Ovis aries: one gene and its partners. The protein of the gene in region 3 interacts with the protein of the main gene of each other region in a pairwise test. Links are inferred from orthologs where the notes say so. Each region holds a gene or a part of one and is shown on either strand. Other genes may lie near its edges. The genes, in order: RND1, RAP1A and PDE6D.

Region 1 (10,519 bases), on a different chromosome or scaffold from region 3:
TGCTTAAGAGCCATATCAGTGAAATTCAGTGAGTGGACTTTGTTCAGATTCCAGTGATTTAGTTAACTAAATCAATGAATGACACAATTGGGGAAATTTTAGCACTGACTGACTATTTGGTGATTTTTAAGGAGTTATTTATTTTTGGTGGGGATAATGGTATTTTGATTATGTTAATGAAGAATCTTTTTATTTTTCAGATGAGTACTGAAACCTCTATGGATTAAATGATATGACATCCAAATTTGCCTTACAATTGTCCAGTGAGGAGGTGTACTGGGGAGAAGCTGGGTGAGGGTATAGGTGAAGTAGGATTGTGTGGATGATTGTTGAAGCTGGGTGATGGTTACAAATGGGTTCGTTGTATTTTTCTATTTCTTTAAATATTTGAACATCTCCACACAATAAGTTTTTTTCTAAGGAAAAAAAAACAAGTTAAAGGAGATTGTAAAGAAAATTTGAAATTATAAACTTATTTATTTTTTAAGTAACCGCTTTGGACTTCCCTGGTGGCTCAGTGGTAAAGAATCTACCTGCCAATGCAGGAGGCATGCGTTCCATCCCCAGTCCGGGAAGATCCTGCATGCCGAGCAGCAGCTGAGCCCGTGACCACAACTACTGAGCCTGTGCTCTAGAGCCCGTGCTCCGAAATGAGAGAAGCCACTGCAAGAAGCCTGCTCACCGCAACTAGAGAGCAGCCTGCACAGCAACAGAGACCCAGCCCAAAATAAATAAATAAATAAAATGTCAGGAAAATTACCAGCTTTATCAAGATATAAGTCACATACCATACAACTCACTAATTTAAACAAGTCAGTGGTTTTCAGTATATTCACAGAGTTGTACAATCATCACCACAATCAAATTTAGAAGCGTTTGTCACCTCAAAAAGAAACCTCGCACCTATTAGCAGACATTCTACATTCCCCCACAACCCTTACAGCCCTAATCTCCTTTCTGTGTCTTTGGATTTGTTTTGGATGCTTCATACAAGTGAAATCATATAATATATGGCCTTTTGTGACTAGCTCCTTTCACCTTAGCATAATGTTTTCAAGTATAACCTAAATTTTCCTGGTCTTATAGGAGGGCTTCCTTGGTGGTTCAGTGGTAAAGAATCTGCCTGCCAATGCAGGAGACCTGGATTTGAGTCTTGGGTCAGGAAGATCCCCTGGAGGAGGGAATGGCAACCCACTCCAGTATTCTTGCCTGGAGAGTTCCACGAACAGAGGAGCCTGGCAGGCTACAGTCCACATGGTTGCAAAGAATCAGCCTCATAGGAAAATACAACCTTATACATTTATTACTCTGGTTTTGGATTTTTAAAGAAAGATACATGGAAGAGGTTTAAACAAACTTGGGGGAGGTAGCCTAACTGCTAAAAAAAAAAAAAAAGGGCTAAAAACCCCTTCGTTAGTCCAAACCCCTCACCTTACGTTCAAGGAACTAGGGGCCCAGAGAGACTAACCCAAACACACATAGCTTGTTAAGGACAGAGCTGGTCCAACATCCAGACCAGCTGAGTTTTGGTTCCATCCTCCTTTCATGTTGCCACACTGCCTTCTGAACACACACCCCCTCCCCACATTTCCCACCATAATTCATAAACACGTGACCCACAAAATATCTACGGAGACACATCTTGACAAGGTGAAGGGACCTAGAGAAGAAGTCTGGAGAGCTCTCCCTTCTGCTCAACGTCAGTTTTACTTCAGTCCTGATCCCCAGGAGGCCCCATGATGGGGGCTGCTCCGTCTCACAGCTCAGGCTTTCTGCTTTCCTCCCCTGAAATGCAACCACTCAGGGAAGCAGTGTTAGCACCAGCTCCCAGAATTTCTATCTCAGTGGACCTCAGGAGTGGCAATCTTGTTAGAAGTTAGAGGAAGTTGTTTGCATAGCAAGAACAGTTTTTACTTATTTGAATACTATTTGGAGTGCCTCGGGAGCGGGTGCGTGTAGGGGGAGGCTGGGAGAGAACATGGGGAGAGAGGGCTAAAGCCTTTGGGGCTGCCATTGGAGGGAACCCAGTTAAGGGTTAAGAGGCTGTATGGGAACCACACTGGAGCTTCCAGAACTGAGTTCGGATGAGATGGAGGGAGGGAGACACCGGGAAAAAGTCATGCTGAGGGAGAGGACTCCAGGCTGAGGCAGTCTGTGATCTTACAGCTGTGCCTGGAACACTCCCAAAACATGTTTATGGGGAGCTCAGAGAGGCTGTCAGGCTGCTGCAAAAGGGCAGGAAGAGGACAAATTCTATAGACAGAACATTATCTTAGGGCTGAGGATGAGACCTGGGGAATGGTAGGGGAAAGAAGATTCCAAAGAGCCTGCCTGGGAGAGGAGGGTAGCCAGCCAATGGTATCATCTGGTAACTGACTTTCTACCTTGGAGATTCCCTGAAGTGATCCCTGATCCCTGGAAGGGGGGCCTTAGGGCAGAGGACAGTGCAGGACTTAGCCCCAGGACCCTCAGCCAGGCAACTTGGACTAGACGCAGGAGACCTAGGTTTGATCCCTAGGTGGGGAAGATCCCCTGGAGAAGGGAATACTACCAACCCCAGTATTCTTACCTGGAGAATTCCATGGACAGAAGAGCCTGTATGGCTACAGTCCGTGGAGTCCAGGAGGTCCCAAAGAGTTGGACACGACTGATTGACCAACACTGTTGGGGCTTCCCAGGTGGTGCTAGTGATAAAGAACCTGCCTGCCAATGCAGGAGACATAAGAGATGCAGGTTCAATCCCTGGATCAGGAAGATCCCCTAGAGGAAGGCATGGCAGCCCACTCCAGTATTCTTGCCTGGAGAATGCTATGGACAGAGGAGTCTGGTGGGCTACAGTCCATAGTATTGCAAAGAGTCAGACACTGAAGACTGAAGCTACTTAGCATGCACACACATTGGTTAGGCTACATTCTCAAAATACTCTCCATTCTCCTGTCTATAGAGGGTGTTGGCAATCCTGTCCCTTCGGGACCAGGGAAGATTTTAAACATCCTATGTAACAGGGAACACACTCCCCTCCCCTGCCCCAGTGGGGCAGCAGTGATGGCAAGTCAGAGTAAAGCTCCAAGGGAATAGGGCTCAGGCTGTGCTCCAGAGGCACTGGGCTTCCCAAGGTGAAGGGACCCAGAGAAGTCTGGAGTGCTCCGCTTTTGCCCAGGGTCAGTCTCACTTCAATCCCTGATCCCCCAGGAGGCCTCATCTAGACTGTTTTGGTTCTTGAATAATCAGTAGGTTATTCAAGCTGGTTCTGTCTAGTGGAGAGGCGGTAACATGAAGGGCTCTGAGGGCCAAGGGCTGGCAGGCAGTTACGCAGCTCATCTCAACCTCATTTTGCCCTTCAGCTTCCGAATCCCGAAGTCCCAGGCCCATTCTTCCAGTCTGGACTTCAACCAGCTGACACACGCAGTACAGCAGCGTCAGTAGGTGTCAACCTGAAACTGGACCTGTGCCTGATTCATCCAGGAAGCTGAACCCAAGAGGCAGAACAAACATCCCTAAAGCAGCTCCTGCCAGGCCTGGGGTGAGAGGTCGTCTGGCCAAACAGACAGCAACTTTGTTTGTTTTGCCCTCTTCATGCCCCTCCCCACTTGCCAGACTCCCTCATTCCTTTCTCTGTGCCCATCTCTGGGTCAGAAGCTCTGTGGGTTTTTTCCAGATGACGCAAGAAGGTTGTTTAATTTATGTACTTTTTAGTGAAGGTGATTTCTGAGGAAGAGACTTGGGTGTTGACAGGGGTCCAACCGAGTTAATAAGGGGGTCCAGCAGGAGATTCTGTGAAAAGAAGCCAGAAGCGGGAAGTGGTCCGAGTGGGGATTAGATGGAAAGAGGGGGCCAGAGATTTCTGGGATCACCCCTTCCCCAAGGAAGTGCCACCAGGCTACAATTTAGGCAAGTCCTGTTCTGGAACAACTCCAGCTTGACTTCACTATCCACATTCTTGGCTAGTTTGTTGTTTTTGACACTAATTGGTGGACACTCAAGACCATTAAAGTTTGGTTCATTTTCCCCCACCCCAACCTCATACAAACGCAGAACAACGTGGGAATTCCCTTTCAGAGGAAGCAAGAAACGGTGCAGCTTTAAGAGAAAGGGAAGGGAAGAAGAGGGTTCTGACTCAGATCCTCCTGCCATTGGCTGCTAGAGGGGATCCCACCTCAGGGATTGGCTGTGACAGAGTCCGCCTTCTCTTGTGATTGGCTCAGCCATGGCAATATAAGGTGGCCGTACTGGCCTCTTTCTCAGTTGGAGAGAGGCAGGGAATCCGGCTGGGGAGTGTGCTGAGACGCACCTGGCGTAACCATCTCCTTTCTGAATCCGAGTCCAGGTCCCACGGAGGCTGCAGCCATGAAGGAGAGACGGGCCCCCCAGCCAGTCGTGGCCAGATGTAAGCTCGTTCTGGTGGGGGATGTGCAGTGTGGGAAGACAGCAATGTTACAGGTGTTGGCCAAGGACTGCTATCCCGAGGTGAGTTGCTAGCCCGCCCGCTGGCCACCTTTCCTCTTTGACAGCCTGCTGCTGCGGGTAGATTCCCACCTGCCCAGGGGAGCTGTTTCATCCCACCCCACCCCTCCCCATCCTCAGCCGCTTTCTGGCTGGAGGACCGCCCTGCCTTAGCTTCCCCTGAGACCTGTTCCACTTCTGCCGCCCAGCTGGCTCCTCCTCACCTCTTCACCCATAGGTCCCTGATCAAATCCCCTCCTACCTCTCTTCATCCTGGAGTCTGCTCTTGGGAGAGGGAACTGGAGGCATTTGAGAGTCAGGGGTTTCTTCTTGACGTAATACCTGCCGTCCCTTCACCCATTCTATGCGCTTGTCCCCAGGCAGGCTTCTGCTGCCCTGCTGGTCCAAGGGACCTGTGGAGAGAAAAAGAGCTAGAATTGATTTGTGGCTCTGAAATTTGTAGACAGGCAAATCTGGGGACAAGAGGAATCCGTGTGTGTGTGTGTGTGTGTGTGTGTGTGTGTGTCTGTGTGTGTGTGTGTGTCTGTGGTGTCTCCCTGACCGTCTAGGATATGGGGAGATTGTCCCTGGCAGGAAGTCTTTTACATTTCTCACTTTGATGGAGCAAAGTGCCTGAGCCTCTACACCCCTCTGTCCTGTCCCACGTGGTCCCTCCTGCCCCAGGTATCCTCTCCTTTCCTGCCACGTTGGTGTCTCACTAGGGTGAGTGGCTTCTTGTGTAGCCAGCACTAACTGGAGGGTTCTGAGGGTTGGTACATCCAAGGTGTGAACAGTTCCTCTTTTCACAGACGTACGTGCCCACTGTGTTTGAGAATTACACAGCCTGCTTGGAGACAGAGGAACAGAGAGTGGAGCTCAGTCTCTGGGACACTTCAGGTAAGACTGCTGGCCCCGAGTGCCCCTTTCCCACCCGCACTGGTCTGTTGCAGTCGCTGTCTCTTAGAAATTGTTTTTCTCTCTGACGGGGGGAAGGAGTATGGTGCTTGCCCGGAGACTGAAAGAGAGAGACTTGAAGATTCTTTGAGGGGTGGGGTGGGGCTTGGCTAACTCAGTTGGCTCATCCAGGGGTGGAGAATGGATGAACCCCAGAAGCTATCACTTCTCTTGGTCTGGCTCCATCCTTTGGAGAGCTGGAATGGGCAGGGGAATGGACCCCAGAAGACTATTGGAGGAGGCAGTTAGGGCTTCTGCATTTCCACATTCTGCCACCCAACACACGCACTCACAGCCTTTACTGCCTCAGAGCAAAGCCAAATAAAAGGCAGGAGGCAGTGGTGGCTGTGGCAGGGAGACAAGTCTGTTTTGGGGAAAATGTTGCTCCTGACTCAGTTTTCTCTTCTGCATTTCATCTCTGGCCACTGCTGCCTGCCTGCCGCAGCTCAGCCCCACTGTCATGCCTCTGCGGCTGAGGGATGAAGCGATGCATCGTCAGTGTTTTGGAGGGTGGGGGCTCAAATGGGTCATGGTCATGTTGTACATAGCAGGGGGCTGTTGGCTCTGACTAGGCTGAGGTAGAAGATGCTCTATCTTTCTGGAATGTGAAAAGCAATGTTTTAAGTCTCTCATCCCTAAATCTTCAGTGCTAGGCTATCCTTTGCTTTTCACTCTGACCCCCTTTCCATTATCTCTTTACCCCAGCCCTTTTAAAATAGACTGAGCTCGGAATCAATTAAAGGCTAAAAGCCAGAAATATGAGAAAGAAAATAAAATCCATTTCTCTTCAAAAATGCTGAGTTTAAAGAGGAACTATAAATCACTAGGGGTTTCCTGTTGCATATAAATATGCCATCCTACTCCTCCAAAGATCTATTATTCCCATCATCCAATTTTGAGGATTGGAAAGACTGGAGGTAGGATATGGGTAATCAGAAAATGAGACATCCCCCTTGCTCCCCACTCCCCAAAACAGGACAGAAATTCCTCCACCTGGTGTGCTTCCCTCTGTTGCAGTTCCAGGGGTTGGGAGCCAGCATTCTGATTATCCGGACTGTGCTACGCTGGCTGGATTGAGCTGGAATGCAGCTCGGCTGCATGATATATGGGTTTTCATCTGCTGTACTCTGCCCACCTCTCAATCTTCCCAGAATCTTCCTGCAGCTCATCTCTTTTCACTACCACCGCCCCCGAAGAGCCCCTCCCCCTCCTCCCACAGTCAGAATGCAGTCCTGGAATCCCAATTCAGATAATGGAAGATCAGCAAGGTGGTCTCTTTTCCCTGTGCCGCATCCCCACCCCCCAAGTTCCCAAAGGATGCCGGCTGTCCGTCGGCGGCCTCAAACTCCCTCTTTCAAATGAGATGCCCGTAAGGAAGGAGGAATGGCAGGGCTGTGTGGGATGGGGCTTCCCAGCACGGGGGCCATTATTCACTTGCTGGTCTTAGGGGAGGGGGATCGCTTAGAGCCAGAAAGGAGGCCTCCTCTCCTCCTCCTTCCCCAGGGCTGCAGTGTTCCCTTTGCTCAGTGATACTGTGATGAGACCCCACTTCATCCCTCAGAGAGGGATGGGGGCTGATTGCTGAAGGAGCAGGCAGTTATCCCAACTCCCCTCTACTCCTTTTTTTGAACAACCAACCCCCTGCCTCAGCTTGGATTCCCCCCAGTTTCCATGGCGATTGCGGTTCAGGGAGAGGGGCTGCTTGCTATTCTGAGCACGGATTGTCTGGGTTCCAAAGCTGCTACTGTTCCTTCCCCAGGGTGGAGGGGGGCAGGTTCAAACTCCAGCCTTCTCCCACATTGGACCACCTGGGTCTGCACTGCCTACTCCCCTCCCAGCCATGGACCCTTATTCGAGAGCCTCTAAATCCCAGCTGTTGGTGTTGCTGTCTTTGAGAATGCCTCCCTGAGATCATGGGACAGGGGGCTGCAACTTTCCTTTTGCCCTTTCCAGTGTAAGCTTATTTGGGTGGGAGGAGCAGTGGGACCCTGAATTCCTGATGCTCTCCCTCCCCTGCCTGCCTCCTAGAGTTCTGACCCCATGGCAAAGAAGCAGGGCAGCCAGTTATATAACAGGCAGATGTGTTTCTTCACTGGGGAGACCCTGGAGCAGAAGCCAGGAGCAGAGGTTGGACATCAGGCAGATTCTAGAAAAGAGACCTTAAACAAGGCCTGGTCTCTCTGCAGGAGTAGGAGGCGCTTCCCCTGGGACTCAGAAAACTGGTGGACCTTCAATGAAGCCCACTGTAGGAGATCCAGACAGGGCCCGATTATACTTCACGTCCCTTTTATTTTGCACCCTTTCCCTTCTTCAGGATTAAGGAAGATGACCTTCTTGCACTGTCTCTTGGCAGGTGGTCAGGTGCCAAGCTTCCCATTGCAGCACCTTCCCCTGGGAAATAGGTGGGGCCCTCTCCCTTAAGGGACCAAGCATGGTGTTCCCAGTGCTCTTTGGGTTTAGGCCTCTAGGGGAGGGAAAGTGCCATGATTTACCATCAGCTCTCTCTCCCCTCTACCAGGATCTCCCTACTATGACAATGTCCGTCCACTCTGCTACAGTGACTCGGACGCAGTATTACTGTGCTTTGATATCAGCCGTCCAGAGACTGTGGACAGTGCACTCAAGAAGGTAAGGCTGAATGAATTCTACCATCTCTAGCTCAGCTGGAGAACAAAAAGGAATCTTGGGGACCTGGTCATCTAACCCTTCTTGTATAGGAAGAAATTGAGGCCAGGGAAGGAAGAGATTTGCCCAAGGCCACACCATTAGCTACAGTTCTGGGACCAGAGGGGCTTCCCAGGTGGTTCAGTGGTAAAGAATCCGCCTACCAGTGCAGGGGCACGGGTTCAGTTCCTGGATCAGGAAGATTCCCTGGAGGAGGACATGGCAACCCACTCCAGTATTCTTGACTGGACAATCCCATTGACACAGGAGCCTGGCAGGCTACAGTCCATGGTGTCGCAAAGCGTTAGACACACTGAGCCACTAAACACTGGGGCTAAACCCAGATCTCCAGTCCCTCTTCATCCTGCCTTCGCCCCTATCCTGCACTGATCTGCCAGAGGCCCAGCAGGGGAGGGTGGTGTTGAAGACTCAGGAAGTGAGGGTTGAGAGCAGAGAACTTTCTGGTGATATGGTTTGAGAGTTGGAGGAGGGGCCTTTGGGTGGCAGCTTTACAGACCTTGATCACAGGCCTTCTGGGACTTAGCCAGGCAGGCCTGAGCTGAACTGCTGGTAGGAAATGCCTCAGTCATGGTAGTAAGGTCTACCCATACTGAGGAGTCCCAGGAAACCTTGCGGAACTAGCCCAGTTTCTCAGAAGACTCCGGGATTATCTCTTGGAAAGAGACTGGTCGGCTTCTTGGCTTTCTGGACTTGTGCAGCCCTTTGGGTTGAGGGGGTGGACCTGTGCCCCATATGCTTGGTGGAGAGTGAGAGATTTGTCCCTGTGCTCTCTTTGGAGACTGGGCCGTTGAATCTGGGGACAGACTCTTGGGTCAGCACTCCTGTGGCCCCAAAGGCCTCATGGGCAGGAAGATGATGTAATTAGTGCAGTGGCGATGCTGTGACTCACAGCGAGGGCTGGGGATAAGTGGAATGGTGTATGTGATGTTGCCAGCTGGGTTCCTCCGGGTGTCCGTCAGCCACTGACTCTCCTTCCTTCCTCCTTCCTATCTTCTTGCACGGCTCTTCAGTGGAGGACGGAAATCCTTGACTATTGTCCCAGCACCCGTGTCTTGCTTATTGGTTGTAAGACCGACCTGAGGACAGACCTGAGCACTCTGATGGAGCTGTCACACCAGAAGCAGGCGCCCATCTCTTATGAGCAGGTGTGTGTGTGTGCACGCCCATGTGTGGGCTGGGAGTTGAGCTGGGGAAGGCTACAGGAGAGGGCTTGGAAAATGGCTCTTGCTCACACTCTTTCACTATAGCAAGAGAGAACTGGTATTCTGGGGGGCCATCTATAATCAGCAAACTAGTTACCTGGATAGAGGTAGTGGATACCAATTTGCCCAGATTCATACTTCCCAGGGGGCGCTAGTGGTAAAGAACCTGCCTGCCAGTGCAGGAGACATAAGTGATATGGGTTCCATCCCTGAGTCAGGAAGATCCCCTGGAGGAGGGCATGGCTAACCCACTCCAGTATCCTTGTCTGGTGAACCCTATGGACAGAGGAGCCTGGTGGGCTACAAACCATAGAGATGCACAGGGTTGGACACGTCTGAAGTGACTTAGCATGCACGCAGGCACATACTATAGTTTTTCAGTGAGCCATTCCTGTGTGTGCCACTGTTTCTCAGGTGGTGTTTTGTGTGTATGTGTGGACCACCTTCACTAGAATCACTAGAGGTGTTTGTTAGATTCCTGACTCCTTATCTGCAGAGTCATTCTGGGAGAAAAGTATGGGAGTTACATTATAAATTAAGTCCCTGGATAATTTCCTATGCACATGGGAAGGTAAGAATCATTTCTTTAAACCAGTCTTTCATATTACAATCATCTGAGGAGTTCTTAAAAATACGAATTCCTAGGCCTACCCCCAGAAATTCCGATTTACTTGTTCTGGCATCGATATGGTTTAAAAATGTTCCAGATGACTTTAAGGTGCAGTAAGGCTTCACTCTCAGAAAATAATCAGTAGAGGGTGGTGGTGGGAGCCTGGCAGTTGGGTCCCTTGGAGCAGGCATGGGGAGGACTGCTACCCTGAGAAAGCAGGGTTTCAGACCCATTTTAGATCACTGCATGGATGACCTCACTTCCCCTGCAGGGCTGTGCCATTGCCAAGCAGCTGGGTGCAGAAATATACCTGGAAGGCTCGGCTTTCACCTCAGAGAAGAGTATCCACAGCATCTTCCGGACAGCGTCCATGGTGTGTCTGAACAAACCCAGCCCGATGCCCCCGAAGAGCCCTGTCCGAAGCCTCTCCAAGCGACTGCTCCACCTCCCCAGCCGTTCTGAACTCATCTCTTCCACCTTCAAGAAGGAAAAGGCCAAAAGCTGTTCCATTATGTGAAGTGGGGGTTGGAGAGGGGAGACAACCTCCCACTTCCTCCCTTGGGTTGCAGGGGCACGGGGAGAGGGAGGAGGAGACAATTTAGGACTCTGGACATGAGATTTTCAG
Region 2 (10,646 bases), on a different chromosome or scaffold from region 3:
CCCAGGTTTGATCCCTGGTCAGGGAAGGAAGCTGTGCAGTGCAGCAAACAAACAAACATCAACAACCACAAAAACCAGAAACTGTATTTAAGAGGAGAAGAAAACTCAGAAAAATTTCCAGGTACAAACTGTTACGTAAGACAGGCCTTCAAGAATTTCAACAGATTTGAGGTCTGGAAGAAGAAAAGAGAGGCCAGTTCCAGGCAGAGACAATTTACACAAATGAGTTAGCTGCTTTGTAAAAAGTTGGTAGGAAATATAGCAAGCAGCTCAGTTTTGCTTGAGAACCAGCACTCTATTATGCAAAGGGGCACTGCAGGGTAAGGCTGGAAAAGGGGGATGGAGACATTCAACTGGACAAATGTCAGATTAAGCAGTTTTACCTAATTTGACAGGAAACTACTGATAATTTTTAAAATAAGGTGGAGCTGTGATCTGGCCACTGCTTTAGGGAGATGGTTCTGGCAAGAACACCAAATGGATTGAAGGGAAGGCAACTAAGCAGAAGACCAAATAGGAAACTACAGCAAAAGTCTAGACGAGAGGTAACCAGTAGCTGACTGAGGCAGGTGGCAATGGGGACACAGAGGCAGGGGCGGATGGAAAAGACCCTGGGTAGGAAAGGTCTATACCTGTCTGTCTAATACAGTATCCCCCAGCCCCATGCGGCTATCTAAATTGAATTTATATACACTAAAGTTGTAAACTTTGTTACTAGCATGCTGTAGTCAATGGGGTCACAAAGAGTCGGACATGACTGAGCAACTGAACAACAACAGTTATAAAACCCAGTTCCTCTGTATTAGATATGCAGATAAAGAACATTCTCATCACAGCAGAATGTTCTATTGGATGGTGTTGATCGCTACACTTTGAGGATCAATTGGGTGCAGGGATGGGGAAAATGGATTAAAGGTGGCTAAGATTTGCTGCATGAGTGACTGAGAAAGATAATGCCAGGAGCAGGAAAGCAGAATAAGGAGGAAAGATGTTTAGTTTCTGTGAAACATCAGGCAGGACAAAGTACCTACACAAATGCTCGGGTGAGTAAAGCAGGGCACAAGGGACTCTCCCAAGGCTAGTAAAGCCACACAATCCCCTGCCCTCAACCTCCCCCAGGTCAGTGGATCACAAGGACTGTGACAAGACAGGAGCCCGAGAGCCTGGTATTCCCTCAACCCCGAGGTACCTGCCTGGACCTCATTTCTCATAGACACCTCACTCACCCTTTCCCATGCTCGATTCTTGGAAAGTCCCCTTACTTCCACTTACTTGATAGCTTCCTCTTGAACTATTCTTTCCTACAGGGACCACCAAACCATTGACTCCACTACTTTTTAACTTGCTCTCTGGGAACCCATTCCAATATTCATTTTTGCCTGGGAAATCCCATGGACAGAGGAGCCTGGTGGCCTATAGACCACGGTGCTGGAAAGAGTCAGACATAACTTAGCGACCAACAGCAAAACAGCTATTCCCTCCCAGCTTAGATTCTAAGGTCTATCACTATAACTACTCCTTGACTTACACCCCTCCCCTTTTCAGGACTTCCATCAGCAAAATCCACCCCTGGCCAAATCTACCTCTCCTTCAACCCCGCAAGCTATGGAATGTGGCTGGAGAAAAACCATACAACCTTGCTGAGTGGTCTCACTTAAATATAGGACCACCAACTCAAGAAGACCCTCAGCCTTGTCCATACTACACTTCCTCTCCTTGAAGGAATTCTTTCTCACTTCTTCCATCTTTCCCACAGCTTCCATCTCATATACCCAACAGCCCTTCCCCACTCACAGCTTCCTATTGCTAAGAATAAAAGAAAGCTCAACAGCCCCGATTGACCTCATCAAACCCATGGAGGCGACTTGCACAAAGAATATTTGGTACAAACTGGGAAAAGAAGCACACAGACTTTGTATGTGTGCATGTGATGATACGGAGGATTTTCTAAAAGGCACTGCCTCTGCAGTTGGAGAAATTAGAAAAGGTGCCGCTTCCTCAAGGCTGATTTGGCCTCAAAACTTGGTTGGAAAAACAGAGGCTGGATTTCAGCTCCCACATGCTTCCTGCACAGACATGGCCTGAATAGGCCATCACCAAATTTAATACCTGACCTAACTGTGTTTGTGCCCATAGACGTTGCCTTCTCTCCTAAAATACTGTCCTTGCTCCTATCCACAGTCAACTCCTCCACTTCTACGCTAGGTCCCATTGCTTTTTACCCACTGAAGGACAAGCTTTCTCTATCTGCCCCCTCTTATCTTCTGCACCATCACCTTTACCTCTCTAAAGGATCATTCCAGCATACCAACATAAGGAAACAACTCCTATCTTTAAAATACCTCCCCTAAATAACAAGTGAACTAAAGAGCCTCTTGATGAAGGTGAAAGAAGAGAGTGAAAAAAACTGGCTTAAAACTCAACATTCAAAAAACAAAGATCATGGCATCCAGTCCCATCACTTCATGGCAAATAAATGGGGAAACAATGGAAACAGAGACATACTTTATTTTCTTGGGCTCCAAAATCACTGTAGATGGTGACTGCAACCATGAAATTAAAAGACGCTTGCTCCTTCGAAGAATGGTTATGACAAACCTAGACAGCATATTAAAAAGCAGAGACATTACTTTGCTGACAAAGGTCCATCTAGTCAAAGCTATGGTTTTTCTAGTAGTCTTTTGGGGGCTTCCCTATAGCTCAGACAGTGAAGAATCTGCCTGCAATGGAGGAGGGTTCAATTGCTGGGTCAGGAAGATCCCCTGGAGAAGGGAATGGCAACCCACTCCAGTACTCTTGCCTGGAGAATCTCATGGACAGAGGAGCCTGGCAGGCTACAGTCCATGGGGTCACAAAGAGTCAGACACTACTGAGTGACTAACACTACTACTACTATTATGTACGGATGTGAGAATTGGACCATAAAGAAAGCTGAGTGCCAAAGAATTGATGCTTTTGAACTGTGGTGTTCGATAGGACTCTTGAGAGGCCCTTGGACTGCAAGGAGATCAAACCAGTCAATCCTAAAGGAAATCAACCCTGACTATTCATTGGGAGGACTGATGCTGAAGCTGAAGTTCCAGTACTTTGGCCACCTGATGCGAAGAACTGACTCATTGGAAAAGATCCTGACACTGGGAAAGACAGAAGGCAGGAGGAGGGGAGGACAGAGGACGAGATGATTGGATGGCATCATCGACTCAATGAGAAAGCTTCAGGAGACGGTGAAAGACAGGGTGAAAGCTTCAGGTGAAAGACAGGGAAGCCTGGCACACTGCAGTCCATTGGGTCGTAACGAGTTGGATGCAACTGAGCGACTGAACAACGATCCCAAGTACTCCACTCTCTTAGTGGATCCTGAGGGCAAAGGTCCTCAAGAGCTGCTTAGACTTGCTATAAACATTTTTCTTCCTCACCTCCCATCTCTTGTTAACACACCCTAATCAGAGTTTCTCCTCCATGACTTCACTGAAACTGCTTTCCTCAAGGACATCAGCGTCCTTCATCAGGTCAAATGCAGTGTTCAAACCCTCAGTCCTCACCTTATTTATTTCGACAGTATTTGATAACGCTGATCACTCCCACTTTCCTCAAACAATTCTCTTATCTTCCAACACTCCACCCTCTCCTGGTGTGGCTCCTATCTGGTAGTTCCTTCTCCTCTTCTACAGAATTTCCAAAGGTTGGAGTTCATTTTCTTCCTCTCCACTAGCTACTCTCCCTCCTAAGGGATTTTATGTAAGACCTAAGGCTTAAAAAGCATCTATGTGCTGATGATTCCCAAATTCATATCTTCAGACTCATATATCCATCCAATTGTTTACTCAACATCTTCATTTGGATGTAGAACAAGCACTTTATGTAGCATATGAAACAGAATTCGTACTTCCCTCATTCCAAATTTTCTTTCCTTTAAATCTTCTCCAGCTCACTAAATAATACCACCACTAACTTACCCTTGAGGTCCTGAACTTAAGAATCAGCCATGAGCTTTTTGTTCGTTCACACATTCTCTGCCAAATCCATTCCAATTCAAAGTGTATCTGAATACATTCTGATACACCCCTTCTCACTTCTTCTCTGCTGCCATCCTAGTCCGAGCAACCACAAAGAGCTTCCTCACTGGTCTCCTTGAAGACATCTGTGCTTCCCTGTTGTGCATTTTACACATAATACCAAGAGTAACTCTTTAAAATGTGAACTAGATTCGGTCGTTCCTCTGCTCACCCTCCTGTGGCTTTCTGTTGCTCTTAGTAACAGCCCATAAGGCTCCATAGGATCTGATCTCCCCCATCACCTCTCTCAACCTACTACTGCTCTGTGGCTAGCTGATTACACTCAGCCATACTAGCCTTTTTTGTTGGTCTTGCAACATACCAGGCTAACCGCGTACAGCGAGGTTCTTTCAGCTTGGTAAGACTCCCATCCCTTTCCTCTCCCCTCCCGAGGTATTTGCTAGGCTTATTCCTTCATGTCATACATGTATGTACTTATAGGGCTCCTCTGAGGGGCAACACTTGGCCATCTATGAAGTCATCCTATTCCTGGTTTTATTTTTCTTCACTTGACTTATCACTTTCTGAAATTTTTATCTGTTTGTTGTCTCTTCTCAACCACTAGAATGCAAGCTCCATGAAGGCCTTTCAGGTCAGTTCAGTTCAGTCGCTCAGTCGTGTCCGACTCTTCGCGACCCCATGAATCGCAGAACGCCCGGCCTCCCTGTCCATCACCAACTCCTCGAGTTCACTCAGACTCACGTTCATTGAGTCAGTGATGGCATCCAGCCATCTCATCCTCTGTCGTCCCCTTCTCCTCCTGCCCCCAATCCCTCCCAGCATCAGAGTCTTTTGTCAACTCTTGGCATGAGGTGGCCAAAGTACTGGAGTTTCAGCTTTAGCATCATTCCTTCCAAAGAAATCCCAGGGCTGATCTCCTTCAGAATGGACTGGTTGGATCTCCTTGCAGTCCAAGGGACTCTCAAGAGTCTTCTCCAACACCACAGTTCAAAAGCATCAATTCTTCGGCGCTCAGCTTTCTTCACAGTCCAACTCTCATATCCATACATGACCACTGGAAAACCATAGCCTTGACTAGACAGACCTTTGTTGGCAAAGTAATGTCTCTGCTTTTCAAGATGCTATCTAGGTTGGTCATAACTTTTCTTCCAAGATGTAAGCTTCTTTTAATTTACTTCCATTTTTCTCTGCGCCTAGGACAGTGCCTGGCACCTACTAGATACTCAACTAGTACTTGTCAAATGGTCGTATTCCCTCCAAAATTCTTCTCCTCCTGAATCTTCGAACCATCTCTCATTTCATTTCCGGCCTCCCCACTCCGTCGCCCAGCCCAAGCTAAAAGCCGAATCTCCCCACTCCTCCCCCGCGGCGTTCTTAGCTCTTCCACCTCCTTCCTGCGCGGCCCCTTTAAGCGGACTCCGGAAAGCCGCGGGGAAGGCGGGGCCGAAATCTTGCCGACGCCGACTCGAAGGGGCGGGGCGGAACTTGGGGGCGGGGTCTGCGTGCTGCGTGCGTGCGCGCTCTGGAGGCTCCGCCGCCGCTGCTCTCGAGGCCGCTACCGCCGCCGTCGCCGCGTAGAGCCGGAGCAGGAGCCACGGCCGAGAGGAGGGAGGAGGAGGAGGAGGAGGTGGAGGAGGTGCCGGACCGGGGGGGGGTGAGTGAGGGGCGGGGAGCCGGAGCCGGCCCCAGAGGGAGCGAGGGGCGCGGGTCGGACGAGTCCGGGCCGAGGCGGCTCCTGTCGCCGGTCAGTCCCCTGGCTCCCCCTTCCTCCTCCGTGTTCCCTCGGTGTCCGGGGCGGCGGCCCGGGGGCCTGGCCGGCGGGAGGGGCCAGGACTCGGGGAGGCCCGGCCGCCGCCACCGGGGCCGGAGCCAACCACGCCCGCGGACCGAGCCGGTCGACTGTGGCTGGGCCTGCGGGAGAGGGACGGGAGGGGCCCGGGCCGGGTGTGGGAGAGAAAGAGGACATTGTGTCCCCCACCCTCCAACTCCCCGAGGTGTCATGGCACAAGCCCATTTCCCTCGCCATCTCCCCGGACACAGTGCCCTCTCCCCTAGCTGCCTGAGAGAGGTACTAGATTGGACATCGCTTCGTTTTTCTTCTTGCTTGTACCCTGCCTAGGGTCAGCTCTTCTTTCAAACCCAGTTCACCCTTTGGGGGGCACGCGAAGAAGAGAGTTGGAGGGTTGGGTGAATTTTCTGACCTCCCTTGACTGCTGGAGAAGTGTGGGTAGACGGGAGCGGTGCCCTTTCTGTGTTCACTTGTCAGGGTTCGGGATCTCGCATTTCTTCATTCCCCTAGTGCACAGAGCTGACATCTTTACACCCCACTCCACCTCTCAGCCCCTTTCCCGCCCTCTGTCCCCCACGTCTTCCGTAACATGCCATGTGTTCGCCTTTTCGGCGTTGCCTTTCTTGGGTCTCTGCTTCTTCCCTGAATTTTGTTAGGGAAGAGGTCACCGTGTGATTTTTGTCTTCTTCAGGCTGAGACTGGTAGGAGTGTCTTTTTGCCCCCTTGTTCAGGAAGTTAAGGACGGTGTCCTCAGCTGAATTGTGTAATTTACTGCTATGGGGAAAAGACGAGGGGAAGACATCAACTCACAGGGCTAAGAAGCAGAGTTTAGGGGACCTTTCGACCTCTTGGAAAAAGAACTAGCGTTCTGGAGTCATTCCGTTTGGGGGGAGAAGACCATTCTGTCACTGCTTTGAAGGAAGTGGGGTATAAAAAGAAAGGGAATAACAGGGCAGGAGGTTAATGGGTCACAGCCGTACAGGTGGCCACAGTTTTCTGTTTTCTGGGTTTGAGATGATTCTTTTTTATCACAGTAAGAGTAAAGTATCAGCCCTAGGTTTTAACGTGAAGCTCCTACCTTCAAAAGAATGCTGAAGGGCAGTCTCAGAAGGGATGCTGCTGGAAACAGGATTTGGAAACTTTATTTTGGTTTCCTGTCACAGTGTGTGGGGGTGGGCACACGTGTGTGTAGTTTTTCTTCTCTTTTGATGTAACTGATATCTGTGGATATTTTGACATAATAAGCACTAAATCAGGCCCTGAGCTCCTTTCTGTCTGTATTATGATTTTCTGTACCACTTTCTGTTTGAAATTATATTTGTGTTCGCTGGATTTCTTTTTAGTCTGGTGTTTCAGTGAATCTTGTTTCCTATGTATTTTGAATTATGTACTACAAAATACAGTTAAGTGTAAGGTGTGCTAAAAATCACACCATGCCCGGCACATGGTAGGCACTTGGTATTTCTTGAATGAAATGTGTTATTGCAAAGATGTGTCTGGTTTTATATATTTTCTATCCTTTGAGAGGTAGCTCAAATTAGATTTCACTTCACTTCCAACATACAAAATACTGATTATTAACCTTTTCTGGGCCACTAACACCTTTGAGAATATAATGAAATGCACATATAGACTCTCTCCTCAGGAAAGAAGTAATAGACATTTAGGTACAGAATTTTACATCTTCAGGGACTCTCTGAAGCCAACCATGTGTGTTTGTCTTAAATGTAAACTCTGAGTATTATTCAGTTCTATATTAAAACTGTTCAGAAGGCTTTGTTCACCTTCTGTGTGACCTCAAGCATGTGTGTCTACCCTCACAGACTTATTTGGGTCTTTGGGAACAAAGATTTTAAGACTGATGTTATTAACAGTTTTATGGGAAAAGTTCTCATAATATTTCTAAACAGATGGCTTTGAGGGAGATAAGATTGTCATAGTCACTACTGACAGCTTAAAATCATAATCACAACTGACTTACATTTTTTGTTGTTTAACTCCTTAGCAATATGATCAGCACTTAAAAGTGTTCACAGATCATTTTTCCTATTCTCTTGCAAGTTTGTTTATATGCATGTTTTTTTGTGTAGTTAATAATTATTGTATCAGTATTCAGTATCTGTTTAACAAGTGCTTTTAAAATGCCTATTATGTGAATAAAACAAAGTCCTTGCTATCATGGAGTTCATACACTAAACAGGAGAGATGGGCCATAACCATATAAATACAGAATAAGTCAGATGGTAAGAAATACGCAGAGAGTAAAGTGGGGTTAGAGGATACAGAGAGTGGCAAGGAAGGGTAGCTAGGGAAGGCATGATGCTGGAGTAGAGACCTGAAGAAAGTGAGGAATTCATGCTCTCCAGGGGAAGAAGATAACAGGCAGAGACCACTCAGTGTACTTGGCCTTTTGGAGAAGGCCAGTAAGCAGGAGGGAAAATGAGAGAACTTGAGATTAGAGAAGTGGCCGAGGCCACTGTAAAGCGTGTAGGCAATGGTCAGAACTTTGAATTTTACTTTGAATGAAATGGGAAACCACTGGAGGGTTTTGGGTAGAAGAGAGAACTCTTCTGACTAAAGTCTGTGGGAACTGTTCTGGCTGCTATGTGGAAGTTAACTTGGGGAAGGCAGCAGGGAGTGGCAGCAGGAAGACCAATTAGGAGGTTAATGTTCATTTTAAACCTTTTTGCATGGTTGCAAATTAGTCTGTCTACCTGCCCTTGGGCATATAGATACTTTCCTTTTCCCCTTATTGAAAATAACAATGAAATGAACACTTTTGTATGTTCAACAATTTTCTTTCTTTTTGAATATTTCCTTGGAATTTATTTCCAGAAGGACTACTAAATCAAAGTATATAAATATACTTGTCTTCTTGGTGTATCTATTAATTCCTTCAGAGAGTAGTTTGTGCTAAAGTGACAGCCACAGTTGTTGATCTGAAGTTTCATGCAGTGTCACTTGAGTGAATATTATTTAATACTTGAACAATTTGAATTATAAAAAGAGACCTTTTAGGTCATTAGGTTGAATTTTCCAGTAGCTAGCTCACATGAGTTCATAATGTTTGTTCAACTCTCTCTTTAACATTTTAATAACAGGGTGCTAATTGTTGGGGATAACAGTTGAATTAGACAGGGTCTCTGCCCTCAGGAAGTTTTATATTATGTAATAATTTGTGATCTCATAGTTAAATAACTTAAAATCTTGCCAGTGTTTACTGTTACTCAAGAACTTTGTTAGTATATGGTTGGTGATCTTTTATAAAGAATAGATATCCCAGTCAAGCACCTAATTTTTCATATTAATTCTTTTTTCTTATAAAAGGACTTTTCAATGGTATCAGCGATTAGTTTAATTTCTGTTTTGTATGTTTTTAGAATCTTAAATCTTTGATAGCCTCATGTTTGGAGAAGGAAATGGCAACCCACTCCAGTGTTCTTGCCTGGAGAATCCCAGGGACGGGGGAGCCTGGTGGGCTGCCGTCTCTGGGGTCGCACAGAGTCGGACACGACTGAAGCGACTTAGCAGCAGCAGCAGCCTCCTGTTTTGTTCTTTGCAGTAAATTATGCAACTAGCACTTAGTTGAGGACTCTCATAGTTGAATTTTTAAATTGTTGTAATTCTTTATAAGTTATTCAAAACACAGAGACTATTGTTTCTGTTAAGTCAATATTGCCTCTTTGAAATTTTATTTAGATTATGAGGAAGGATGATATCAGTCTGTTTTAATAGAATTATACCACTGTGATGGCCTTGCTAAGCAATTCAGAAGTCTAAAAGGCTTGATTTGACATGAGCAGAAACTCCAGCATCTGTAAAGTGAGTGGGCTGAGCCAGTGGAGTTTACCTGCAAGCACCGAGCACTGTGTCTCACACATGCTAGGGACCTAGCAAATGTCCACTGAACCTCATATAACCTCTAAGCTCCCAGTTCTAAAATTCTCATTTTAGAAGGTCAGTAAAAATATCTCGTATAAAGCATTTATATCTTAATGTTGTGGTGAGTTTAAAATTGTGAACATAAACTTACTTCCTCCTAATGTTCCTTCAAATTGAACTCATCAATTTTAAAAAGAGTTATGGCATATTGTCAAGTATTTTCTGCTCGTTCTGATGTCATATACTGCTATATGACTTAATGCCAAATTCGTATATTATGGAAATGATTACTGCTTAAAATAAAGATACTTAAACTTTCTTATGTTACTGAGACAGATGAAGGGTCCATTTTTTTCCCTTTTGTGTGTGTCTGAAATTTGGAGATTACAAATGGTAGTTTTTGTGCTTTTCACTTTCATACACAGAGAAAGTATTGGCCATTTTACATGTTGAATTTTTGTAATAGTGGCTATGAGTATGCAATGAAGGTTCACACATGCTCTCTCCAATCCCGTTTGCATTCAGTTTTGAGATGACTGATTAAGAGAGCAGTTTGTTTCAAAGTTAAAAGATCCAGATTAGTATTGAACCTATAAACTTAGTTTATCATAATGTCTGATCCATTAAGCAGTTCAGCAGAGAACTGTGCCTTGTTCTCATTTCCACTTGAAAATGGGCCTTGTAGAGGTAAAAGGTGCAGAGGAAATTGTGTATGATGGTTAAGGTGGAGTTGAGATAGTGTACTTTTGTTAAGCGGTCTAAAAACCATCCTTTTATTATAATTTTCAGAAGTACATGATATACACATGGAGGATTAAATATAGTCTATGAAATTATTTTCAATTGTTAGACTAATGGCTTTTTTTAAAGTTCTAATGACTTATTTAGGCTGTATAAATTTAGATTAGATAAATCTGGAAAAGAAGATTTCTTTGCATATCCAGTTTTTCCAGGGATAG
Region 3 (10,644 bases):
GCCTGTAACATTATTCCCATTTTTTTAAGATCCAAAAGCCAGTGTGTCTAAGTCTGCTTTGAAACCCAGGCTCTCTGAAGCCAAAGACCATGTTCTTCGCCTCTATTCAGAAAATGTTTAAAAATAAGTAAAAGACTGGTTGAACCAACCATGATTCTGTGACCAAAATGATATTTGTGGCGTTGCATCTGCTATTTACCAACTCCCCTGGAAGATGGCTAGGAATGCCACCCAACTGAACACCTAAGCTGGCTCCTTTAACATGTACACCAGACTAAGGTCTTGAAAATGAAAAGAAAGGGGAAAAAAAAGGGCCCTATTTACCTTTCATGAATTCAAGTGCAGAAATCAGACAGCGGCAAAGGTGCGGAGCACCAACACATTCATTTTGAAAATTTCTTTAGCGCCTATTATGTTCTAGAAGGTTCTATGAAGATAAAGTTCTTGCCCTCAAAAAGCTTCAATCTGTTAAGTGCTATGAGAGAGAGAGATGACACTTTGGAAGCACAGAAGAGAATGCGCTGGGGAAGAGAAAGTGGGCATCTTATGGGCAAGAGCTGAGAAGAAAAGAGGTCTGCACTATGTAGCGTATACTGATGCAAAAAAGAAACCCAGAGTGACTGGAGCCCAGGGATCATGGGTGAGAGATGGGGGCTGCAGAGCTGGCATCAGGTCATCTTGTGTTCTTGGAAACCACATGCAAGGCACTATACCCATAAAAACCTAAATACAGCAAAGTTCCTACCTGGGAGAGTTCATGGTTCTGGGGGAGACAGGCCTGTCTGGCCAGGACAGATGGTGCCACAGGTATCCCAGGAGTCCAGCCAAGGCTCTCCTGACTGTGCCCTGGGGAGAGGTGATTCAAGGCAGCCTTCTAGAGCAGATGAGGCTTGAGTTGAGCCTGGAAGAATGAGCAAGCAAATCAGAAAGAGGACAAGCCATGTAAAAGAGGTTTTCTTTTATCTTAGAGGCACTGGGGAGTTGTTGAGGGTTTTTAAGCTGTGGAGAGGTCTGAATAATTGCCATTTTGGACACTAGCTGCTATAGGAATGGACTGGATATGGAGAAAACTAGCAGCAGCAGCAGCAGCAGCAGAGGCTGGGAAACCCTTGAGGTGACTGATGGATTCCGGTTAAGAGATGTGAGATCTTGAACAAAGGTGGCAGCAGTTGGGCTTGAAATAGAAAGGTCCTTGTTGGAGACGTTTAGACCATAGAATCTATCAGACCTGGCAGCCAGTTGAATGCAGGGATAGAGAAGGAAGATATCACCCAGGATTCTGGCTGAGGAGGCCAGAGCTGTCTGGAAGTGGTGGTAAGTGAACAGGGCTGAGGAGGAGAAGGGACAAATTTGGTGTTGGAAGGAGGACTGATAAGTCTTGTTTAAGTTCATAAATATTCTGGCTGTGCCTCTAGTTCCTCCAGAATAATGTTCATATTTGAAGGCTCAGTATGGCTCCCCCACCCCATCCAGCTTTGTCTCATTGCCCTCCCCCCATTAGAGCTCAAACTCCATGCCATCCCAACACAACAGGACTCAGATCTTCCCTCTCTGACACCAGAGCCTAGGCTCAGACTTGCTGTCTCTTCCTTTGTGCAGTGCTCTTCCCTCATATTTGTCTGCTCAAATTCCACCAACTATGTAGGTAAAGAGTTAAACAATTTAAAAAGTACTAATCATGAAAAGGAAACACTGAACTATGGCCCTTCATTAAAATTAAGAATTGCTCTTTCTCAAAAGACACCAGTACAAGACTAAAGGGACAAGCCACAGACTTGGAAAAGATATTTGTAAAGCGTGTATCAGACAAGGATCTCCGTATCTAGACCATATAAAGAACTACAAATCAACAAGAAGATAATCAGCCCAATTTAAAAAGTGGGCAAAAGACTTGAACAAGCACTTCGCAGAAGAGGATAGCAAATAGTCAACAAGCATATGACAAGGATTCAACACCAAAGACAATGTAAACAAAAATATAATGGGATACCACTTTTAGTCAAAATGGCTAGGATTTTTAAAAACTGACACTGTTCTCTATCGCCAAGGATAAGAGTCAGCCAGAACTCTCTTATGTTGCTGTTTAAGGTGAAAATTGGTACAAATATTTTGGAAAACTGGCAATATCTACTATTGCTGATCACACACCCTCCACACAAGCCAGCAACTTCTCTCCTACAAATAAGTGCACGAGTCCACAAAAAGAACCACTTAAGAATGTTCACTGCAGCTTTGTTAATAAAAGCCAAAAATTGGTAAATGAAAACGTAAATGTCCATGAACAGTAGAGAAGATAAACAGTGCTACATACCTACAATGGAATACTACTTAGCAATTAAATAGTAAAAATAAAAAACTTAGGTACTGCTACATACAGCATAGATGAATCTCACAAAAATACTGAACAAAAAAAGCCAGACTTATACTGTACATAGGAATTCAAGGGACTTCCCTGGTAGTCCAGTGATTAAGAATCCACCCTCCAATGCAGAAGACATAGTTCAGTCCTTGGTCTGGGAACTAAGATCCCACAAGCCATGGAGAAATAGGGCCCGTGCACCACAACTCCTGAGCCTGCCAGCCCTAGAGCCCATGCTCTGCAATGAGAGAAACCACCATGATAAGAAGCCAGGGCACTGCAACTAGACAGTAGCCCCCACTCACCTAAACTAGAGAAGGCCAGCATGCAGCAACACAAACCCAGCTCAGCCAAAAATAAAGAAATAATACATAAATAAATGAAATTCAAGAACAGGCAAAACTGATCCATGGTAATAGAAGTCAGAAGAGTGATTATCAGGACTGAAGGATGACTGGGAAGGGGCAAAGTGGTGCTGGAAACATTATCTGGATTTAGGGGTTCATGACACAAGTGTATACATAGGCAAAAACTGTGCCCTTGCTGTATGTGTTATATTTCATTAACAAAAACAATTTACAGATAAAAATTTTAACATAGAAAAAAATCCTACTCCTGCCACCTCCTCCATCAAGTTTTGCCAACTGAATATATCTTTTCACGGGGGCCTCTGTAGCATTCTAATGTCCTTTCTTTTGTACCGTTCCTAACAGTTCATCTTGAATTTCAGTGGAATCTCTTTATTTCCCTAACTAGATGGTTATCTTCCTGGTGGTAGTGACCATGTCTTTCACCTTCTACCAACAAAGTCTGACAAATAACAAAAACTGAAAAAGATGTTTGTTGAATCACACGGAAGGAAAAATTGGGTGGGTGCCCAGATGGGCAAAAGAGGTAAAGGAAGAGGAAGGAAGGCCTAGAAAAAGAGTAGCAGATCGCTAAAGAAACTTTAGCTTAAACTACAGTATTTATCTAGTTTCTGAAATCATATTAAAGCTTTACTGTCTGAGCTACCAGGGAAGCCCTTGAACACAGAACAAATCAAAACACCAAGTTTTACCTAGACTGAGGATAAACAAAGACTGCACTCCTTCACTTGCAGGAAAGTCACCAAATAAATGTTCACCTAATATCCACTGAAGAAAAACGTACAACCTAAAACTTGCAAGTAATGTTTTATACAGGGACCTTACTGAGGACTATAGCCCAGGAGACAGCCTCATATAGCCCTGAGGAACTGCTCCAAAAAAGAAAGGGAGGAGCCAGGATATTAGCAGTTTTTGCTGAAAAGAGAGCTTGTAGTTGAACATCAAAAGATTACTGCCAATTAACAAGAAACAGACAACTAGAATGATTTCTGTGGTTTTCTATGCATGGGAAGATGCAAGTGTCTGGGCTCATTGAAATCATTCCCTAGACATGCATCTTAATTATCTAGAGCAAGTTCCTATTTTTCTCCCTCCTGAATCCTCCTCTGGGCCCATTTTCAGCGGTGGCTTCAGTGGCTGATGGCTTGACGGTGGGCAACGTTTGTTGTTTACTGAAATGTCAGGCAACATTTTTTTGTCCACAGTATCCTCTGGGTGTTTCAACCTTGATAGGAAAACTTCACCAAGGAGAGGAAGATCGCATAGCCATGTTGCTAAAAATATCACTACCCTAGTGTAGTGCAAAAAGCCCAGACTGCAGGAGTCTTAGAGCTGAATTTTAACTCTGCCCCAACTTTCTGTGACCCCGACAATCTCTCTGCCTCTCTGGGCCTCAGTTTCTTCATACGTAAAATAACAGAGGTTAGATTAGCAAATCCTCTGAATTCTGACTGCATTGATAGTCTGAGTACACAACCTTTACATCTCTTGGTCCACCGCAGGAGCACACCAGAAATCCCTGAGAAATACCTAACCGGCTCCCCAGGCCAACAAACAAGTACGGCTTGAAGGAGTCATTCTGTTACATTCTTTTTCATGATTTAATCAGTGTTTGTGTTTGTTGTTTCAGCCTTACCATGATTTGCAGGAGATTTCTGGGTTCCATGTAAATAGAAGTTACTTGTCTGTGGGCTGTCATCTTTTGAGGCTGAAGAGGATCTTCCTGCCCGGTTTCAACCCCTGGGATTCAGAAACCACCAAGCCTACAAGCAGATTTAGGGGTTTGCGCACACTGCGCGGCACACTGGAATCGAAGTTAGAGGAACTGAGTGCGGGGAATGCTGGGATTTGTAGTCCCTGGGTTTTCTGTTGCGTGCTGGGATCTGTGGTCCCCCCGGGCGCCCCCTGGAATGCTGGGAAGTGTAGTCTCCACCACATCGCACAGGGCAACGGGCTGTCATCTCAAAGCCCTACTGTACCCAGCCGCAGGAGAGCCTCTGCAAATCTGAAGCAAACTCTCCTCTGGGACAAACTCTAGGTAACCACGCCGAATGAAAATTTTGTCCTACGGGACTTCCCCGTGAGGGCCCTTCCCATTGACGCTCTTCGTCCCCCTGCGAAGCCGCTGAGTGTTTCTATTGGTCGATCAAGATGCCAATCGCCGAGGCAGGCTTCCTATTGGCTTCAAGGCGGGCGCTCAGAGGCTAGAGGGAAGGAGAAGGGATAAGGAGCGGGAGCTGAGGGGAGGGAGAGGCCGGTTTGGGTCTGGCCGCTGCCGCTGTTCTCCCGAGGTCTTCAGGCCGGGCTGCGGCTCCGTCCTCAGTTCCTGGGCACCGTCTGCGAGGCTCCGCCAGGCCAGCGTGAGAGAGCCGCAGGCGGCGGCCGCCGCATCATGTCAGCCAAGGACGAGCGTGCCAGGGAGATCCTGAGGGGCTTCAAACTGTATCCGCCCGGGAGCGGGGCGGGGCCGGGAGGACTCGGGAGGCGGCCGCTCGCTGAGGAGACGGGCCGGGGGCGGGGGCCGCGCCAGGTGGGCACCCGAGGAGAGGGTGGCGGGAAAGGGGAACAGGAACGGCGTCCGGGGGCCCCCGGCGGGACCCGGCGCGGGAGGCGGGGAAAGGGGCGTCTGGAGGAAAGGAGGGGACGTTGATGGGAGACCTGTGGGTAGAGGCAGAGGAGCCGCCGAATGGGGCTGGGAGAGGCTCCGGGCGTCGGAAACCGGAGTCGGGGAGGCGCGCTTGGGTCCGAGAAGGGAGGCCGGGAAGGGGCTGCGGCCCGTAGGGGAGAGCCGAGGGGGCGCGGTGGGCTGACCTCGAAGCCCAGCAGCCTCTGGCGGGAAGCCCACCGGGCAGCAGGGGGAAAAGTGACTTGGAGCGAGTGACCTTGTGTGGGACAAATACAGATGCTGGTGTTGAACTCTCAATGCGAGTGGGGTTCTCGCATCCCACTCCGCACCCCCCAACCCCACCCCAGACGCCACTCCCCTTCTTGTTTCCACAACTTCTCTTCCTCACTTGTGGCTCCTTCCAGGGCTGGAGCGGAGGAAGGTTGGGAGTGAGGAGTCCGAGATGGACCTCACCTTAACTCTGTCTTGGCCCTTGGAGGCGTTGGACGGTCGCTGAGTCTCCCTCAGCTCCTCAGTTGTCTTTCTAGCGAAATGAGGACCCTAGATGTGTGCGTGAGATGCCTTGAGGCGTTTTGGGTTTGCACTGGGACTCCTGGTGAAGGGGTGTGTCTGCTCGCACAAGTTTGTGTGGTTAAGGCGTAGACATGCTGGAACTGTCCAGCAATTGTTTGATTACGTTGGGGACACTGTAGGGTTTAGTAGGGTGTAGAAATCATTGCCTCGGGCCTGTTGTGGTGCTGCAAATACTACCTTCTTACCATAGTGAAACTGTGTTTGAATGGAGTGTTTATCTGTGACCATTTGATGCAGATGGAAAAAGTGCAATCTTCTCCGTTCCAATCTCACATTTTCCTGCTGACCTTAATCTCTTCTCACATCCTATGTTTACAATATGGAACATTCTTCAGTTCGTCTCTTAATGAACATATAGTCATCCCTGTAGGGCTCCTCCCCTGGAGATTTAGTCAAGCACTGTTCTCTGAGCTGACTGTGTTTCCACAGAGTCCATTTCACCCCTGCAGATTTTCATTGCCTTGTCATAATCAGAAACCAAGTTGGTAGTAAGTTTTAGAACCCAGCAGCAAAAAAGTTTAACAGAAAGTTTTGGAGGTACAAATTAAGTTTTTCAAAGGGGAACTGACCTACTATGCTTTTTTTTTTAAGGGAAGGCAATATTACCTAAACTTACTGCCATTCATGATAAACTTTAAATACTTTCATGCAGTGAAGTTTCCTAACAGCCTCTTTTACATATTAATAGCTTCATGTACTTCCCCTGTTTCTCTTCCTGATAGTGCCTATAGATAGGAATGGCTGAAGTGTTACAAAAGCTATGACGTGGATTTTATTTTTCCCTTAAGTAATTTATATTGCTACTTTACATTTATGCTATAAACAGTAAACTGAAGACTATAAAGAATTGAGAGATTTCAGAAGCCATGTTTTTATCTGATTGGAGTTAACATGTTGCTGAAAATAAGAACGGGTCTTTCAAACCAAAAAGGGAAAGTTTGAGCTACTCACCTTCAGTCTTGGTTCTTGAATGTTGTTCAAGAGAAACTTTGGCTCTTGAGAAAGAGGCAAAGGACAAATATGGGAAAGAATAGAAAGTAGAACCTGTGTTGTTTAGTGCATCACGAAACAGGCTTTCAGGGAAAATTTGACCGGGGCTGATTAAATCACATGGGGAGCAGCCACCAAGAAAATTTAGCGTGGAGACAACAGAATATCCTCCTCTGGTAGCTTTTATTCACATCCGAGAATTAAAAGAGAAAAGAAAAGAGTTCTAGGATTTGTTACTACCTTCAGGGAAAAATAAAATTAATATTTTAATAAGAAAATACCTGTTATCCACCTTTTATTGTATAAATTGTTCCAAGTATCTTTTTCTGTAAGAAGAGTCATTTCTACAAAAAGAAATCACCATTTTATTCTCCTGCCAACAATGTTGATAGTACTTATTTTCCACATTTACTGTGTTGGTCTTTTTCTTTTTGTCAGTTTTAACAGTAGATGACATCTTGTTTTAACTTGTGTTTCCCAGATACTGCTATCTCTGGAGAGGTAACAGCATAGTGTTTAAGAGATACGCTGGCTTGAGAGCTTTACTATCTGCAGTGGAATTCCAGCTCAGGTTGTGTGTCCCTGAGGAGCTTCTTTTAACTGCTGTTACAATTTCCTTAGCAGTTAAAAAAGGATAAAAATAGTATCTTATCTCCTAGAGTTATTGTGAGCATTAAATTAGTTGATATCTAAAGCATTTAGCCAAGCACTTGATGCCTGTAAGCACATTGTATTAGCTGTTATCGCTGCCATTGTTATTATTAGAAGTCACAAAATCTGGCCATTTCTTTTTCTTCTGTGAATTGTTTGTTGATTTTGTTTTTGCCCATTTTACTATTGAATTGCGTATTTTTCTTATTGCTTTGTAGGTGTTCTTTATTGTAATGTCAATCCTTTGTGTATATTACATATTGCCAATGTTTCTCTCGACGGTTTACTTTTTTTTTGTTGAACAGAAGTTTAATACTATAAATTCATCAATACTTTTCATGTGACTTTTGAATTTTGTGTCTTGTTTAAGAAGACCTTTCTTATCTTACTGTTAATAAATATCCTCCTATGTTTTTTCTCTTTTCAATGTTTAGCTCTTTAATTCACCTGAAATGTATTTATACATATGGTAGAGAAGTGAAGTCACTCAGTCGTGTCCAACTCTTTGGGACCACATGGAGTGTAGCCTACCAGGCTCCTCCCTCCATGGGATTCTCCAGGCAAGAGTACTGGAGTGGGTTGCCATTTCCTTCTCCAGGGGATCTTCCCAACCCAGGGATCGAACCCGGGTCTCCCGCATTCCAGGCAGACGCTTTAACCTCTGAGCCACCAGGGAAGTGCTAATACATATGGTATGTGGTAGAAATCTAATTTCCTCTGCTGTTTGGATAGACCGCTGTCCACTACCATTTACTAAGTAGTTAGGCCATCCTTTCCCCACTGTTTTGAAAGCTATCTTTGTCATGTACATGTACTAAGTCTCCATAAGACCTGGATGTATTTTTGGAATATTTCTGTTTCACTGATCCATTTAGCTCTTCCCATTCCTTTCCTGTATGCATTGGTTTAATATAGTTTTATAGCATGATTTAGTATAGTTTACAATAGGATTGATATGTCACAGTTATGTGTTTTAAGTCATATAAGTTCCTTATAAATATTCATGTACTGTTTATACAAACAGAGCTTTGCCCATGTGCTTATAATAGGTATTCAATAAATATGAATAACAATACTTCATAAAGCAGGGATAGTCTTTGTGTCTAAGAGAATCCAACATGAACTTTATATTTGTCATAAGTTTTTTCAAAAATGAAATAGTAAAAAAAAATTTTTTGGCTGCTCAGGCTTGCAGAATCTCAGTTCCTGAGCCAGGGATCAAACCCATATACCCTGCAGTAGAAGCTCAGAGCCCTTAACCAGTGGACCACCAGGGAATTCCCAAGATTTCTTTTTCACATCATTTCTACACCACCTGCTTTTAGCTCATACACTTTAGGAACTAAAGTTGTGAATAAAATATGACTTGGGGAGCAAATGTGATTCTCCTGCAAGGTTTTGAATTTGAGCATTTAAGTAGCTAATATGGAGATTTTGTTTGTGAATTCTGCATTCTGTATTTTATTCATTCAATAAATGTCTGTTGGTCGATTTCTGAACAGGACACTGTGCACTTAAAGGACATAAAAATGAATGAGTCACGGACCCTTCAGAAGTCTAACTATTTTTGTGTCTGTTTAGAAGGGATATCTTATAAAGCAATGCATTTTTAAAAATAGTATTAATTTTTCTTTTACAGACTCCAGCTACCTAGATATGACCTTTGTTAATATTTTAATATAGTCTTCTAGTGTAGCTAATATTTATTGTATTTCCTTTTATTAAATGGAATCATAAGTATTATTTTGGAACTTTTTAAACTGAACAAATTTATCATGTTCATAATTTTTGAAGATAGGTATTAATACTTTGAGTTGCAGTCAGTGACATAGATTTGTCATGGAAGCCTTATACTAGTTTTGTAGTGTAGGCTGTAATGCACTGTTCTGCCTATCAGATTAATTTTTCCTCAACATAAATCTATAATTTTATTAAGTTAATATCAAGAAACTGACACACTTCCAGAAGAAAGAATTATGCTCTTATGATCTCATTATTTTTAATCTGTCTGGAATTTGCTTTGGTATAAGGTATGAAGCAGTGATTTAATTTTTTAATAAAGATTGCTAATTATCTTTATTTCTTCATTTCCTTATGCTCTAAATATTAATATAATATCCAGAATATAAGTGACTGCCTACAAATCAATAAGATAAATACTTAATTCAAAATAGGCAAAGGATATGAAAAACAGTTCACAGAAGAAAAATGCAAATGACCAATGAATAAATTCAGAGATGTACAACCTTCTTAAAACAACAAGGGACTTCCCTGGTGTTCCAGTGGCTGAGACGTCTGCTTCCACTGTAGGGAGTGTTCCTCGATCTCTGGTTGAGGAACTAAGATCCCACATGCCTCATGGTGTGACCAAAAAAAAAATTTTTCCCAATTAGTTGACAAAAACTTAAAAGATTGATAATAGTCAGTGTTGGCAACTATTGGGGAAAAGGGCTGCTTTGTTTGTTCTGTGTGTGTGTGTGTCTGTGTAAGACCTTATGGAAAGTGATTGGTATCTATCAAAAGTGTATATGTAGCTGCAGCAAAGCACAGAGCAGTCTTTGGAGCATGGACTATAGATTCAGATTTTATTACCTCTACCACTGTGACCCTAGGCAGAGCCCTCAACTCTGAACCTCAGGATCCATTTCATTTCTTTAGAGGGTTGTTAAAAGGATTAGATGAGAGTGCATATAAAATGATTGGTACAGTGCCTGGCTCATAGTAATAAATGTTAAGTGCTATATTATTTGCTTTATTAATACTTATTAACAGTAACAGTAATGTTAATATTACTGTAAGTGAAAAAAGTGAAAGTGTTAGTTGCTCAATCATGTTCAACTCTTTGTGACCCCAGGGACTGTAGCCCACCAGGCTCCTCTGTCCATGGAATTCTCCAGGCAAGAATAGTGGAGTGGATAGGCATTCCCTTCTGCAGGGGATCTTTCCAACCCAGGAATCAAACCCAGGTCTCCTGCGTTGCAGGTGGATTCTTTGCCCTCTGAGCCAACAGGGAAAGCCACTTATTTTTCTGAGGTATAACCAATGACTTCATGCTGTCGTTCTTACTGAACAGCTAT

What was found.
Region 1: the proteins of PDE6D (region 3) and RND1 interact in a two-hybrid assay, tested with the Homo sapiens proteins (2 studies listed by BioGRID). The link is inferred for Ovis aries from reciprocal best matches to the Homo sapiens genes PDE6D and RND1.
Region 2: the proteins of PDE6D (region 3) and RAP1A interact in a two-hybrid assay, tested with the Homo sapiens proteins (2 studies listed by BioGRID). The link is inferred for Ovis aries from reciprocal best matches to the Homo sapiens genes PDE6D and RAP1A.

Annotation. Positions count from the first base shown.
Region 1 is NC_056056.1:137,325,124-137,335,642, forward strand, and holds the start of RND1 (rho-related GTP-binding protein Rho6), read left to right. Parts: upstream 1-4,243; 5' UTR 4,244-4,347; coding exon 4,348-4,467; intron 4,468-5,252; coding exon 5,253-5,340; intron 5,341-7,915; coding exon 7,916-8,025; intron 8,026-9,092; coding exon 9,093-9,227; intron 9,228-10,165; coding exon 10,166-10,411; 3' UTR 10,412-10,519. UniProt on the Homo sapiens protein: Lacks intrinsic GTPase activity. Has a low affinity for GDP, and constitutively binds GTP. Controls rearrangements of the actin cytoskeleton. Induces the Rac-dependent neuritic process formation in part by disruption of the cortical actin filaments.
Region 2 is NC_056054.1:89,055,152-89,065,797, forward strand, and holds the start of RAP1A (ras-related protein Rap-1A), read left to right. Parts: upstream 1-5,540; 5' UTR 5,541-5,670; intron 5,671-5,681; exon of another isoform or gene 5,682-10,646. UniProt on the Homo sapiens protein: Counteracts the mitogenic function of Ras, at least partly because it can interact with Ras GAPs and RAF in a competitive manner. Together with ITGB1BP1, regulates KRIT1 localization to microtubules and membranes.
Region 3 is NC_056055.1:233,479,108-233,489,751, reverse strand, and holds the start of PDE6D (retinal rod rhodopsin-sensitive cGMP 3',5'-cyclic phosphodiesterase subunit delta), read left to right. Parts: upstream 1-4,956; 5' UTR 4,957-5,119; coding exon 5,120-5,169; intron 5,170-8,171; exon of another isoform or gene 8,172-8,243; intron 8,244-10,644. UniProt on the Homo sapiens protein: Promotes the release of prenylated target proteins from cellular membranes. Modulates the activity of prenylated or palmitoylated Ras family members by regulating their subcellular location.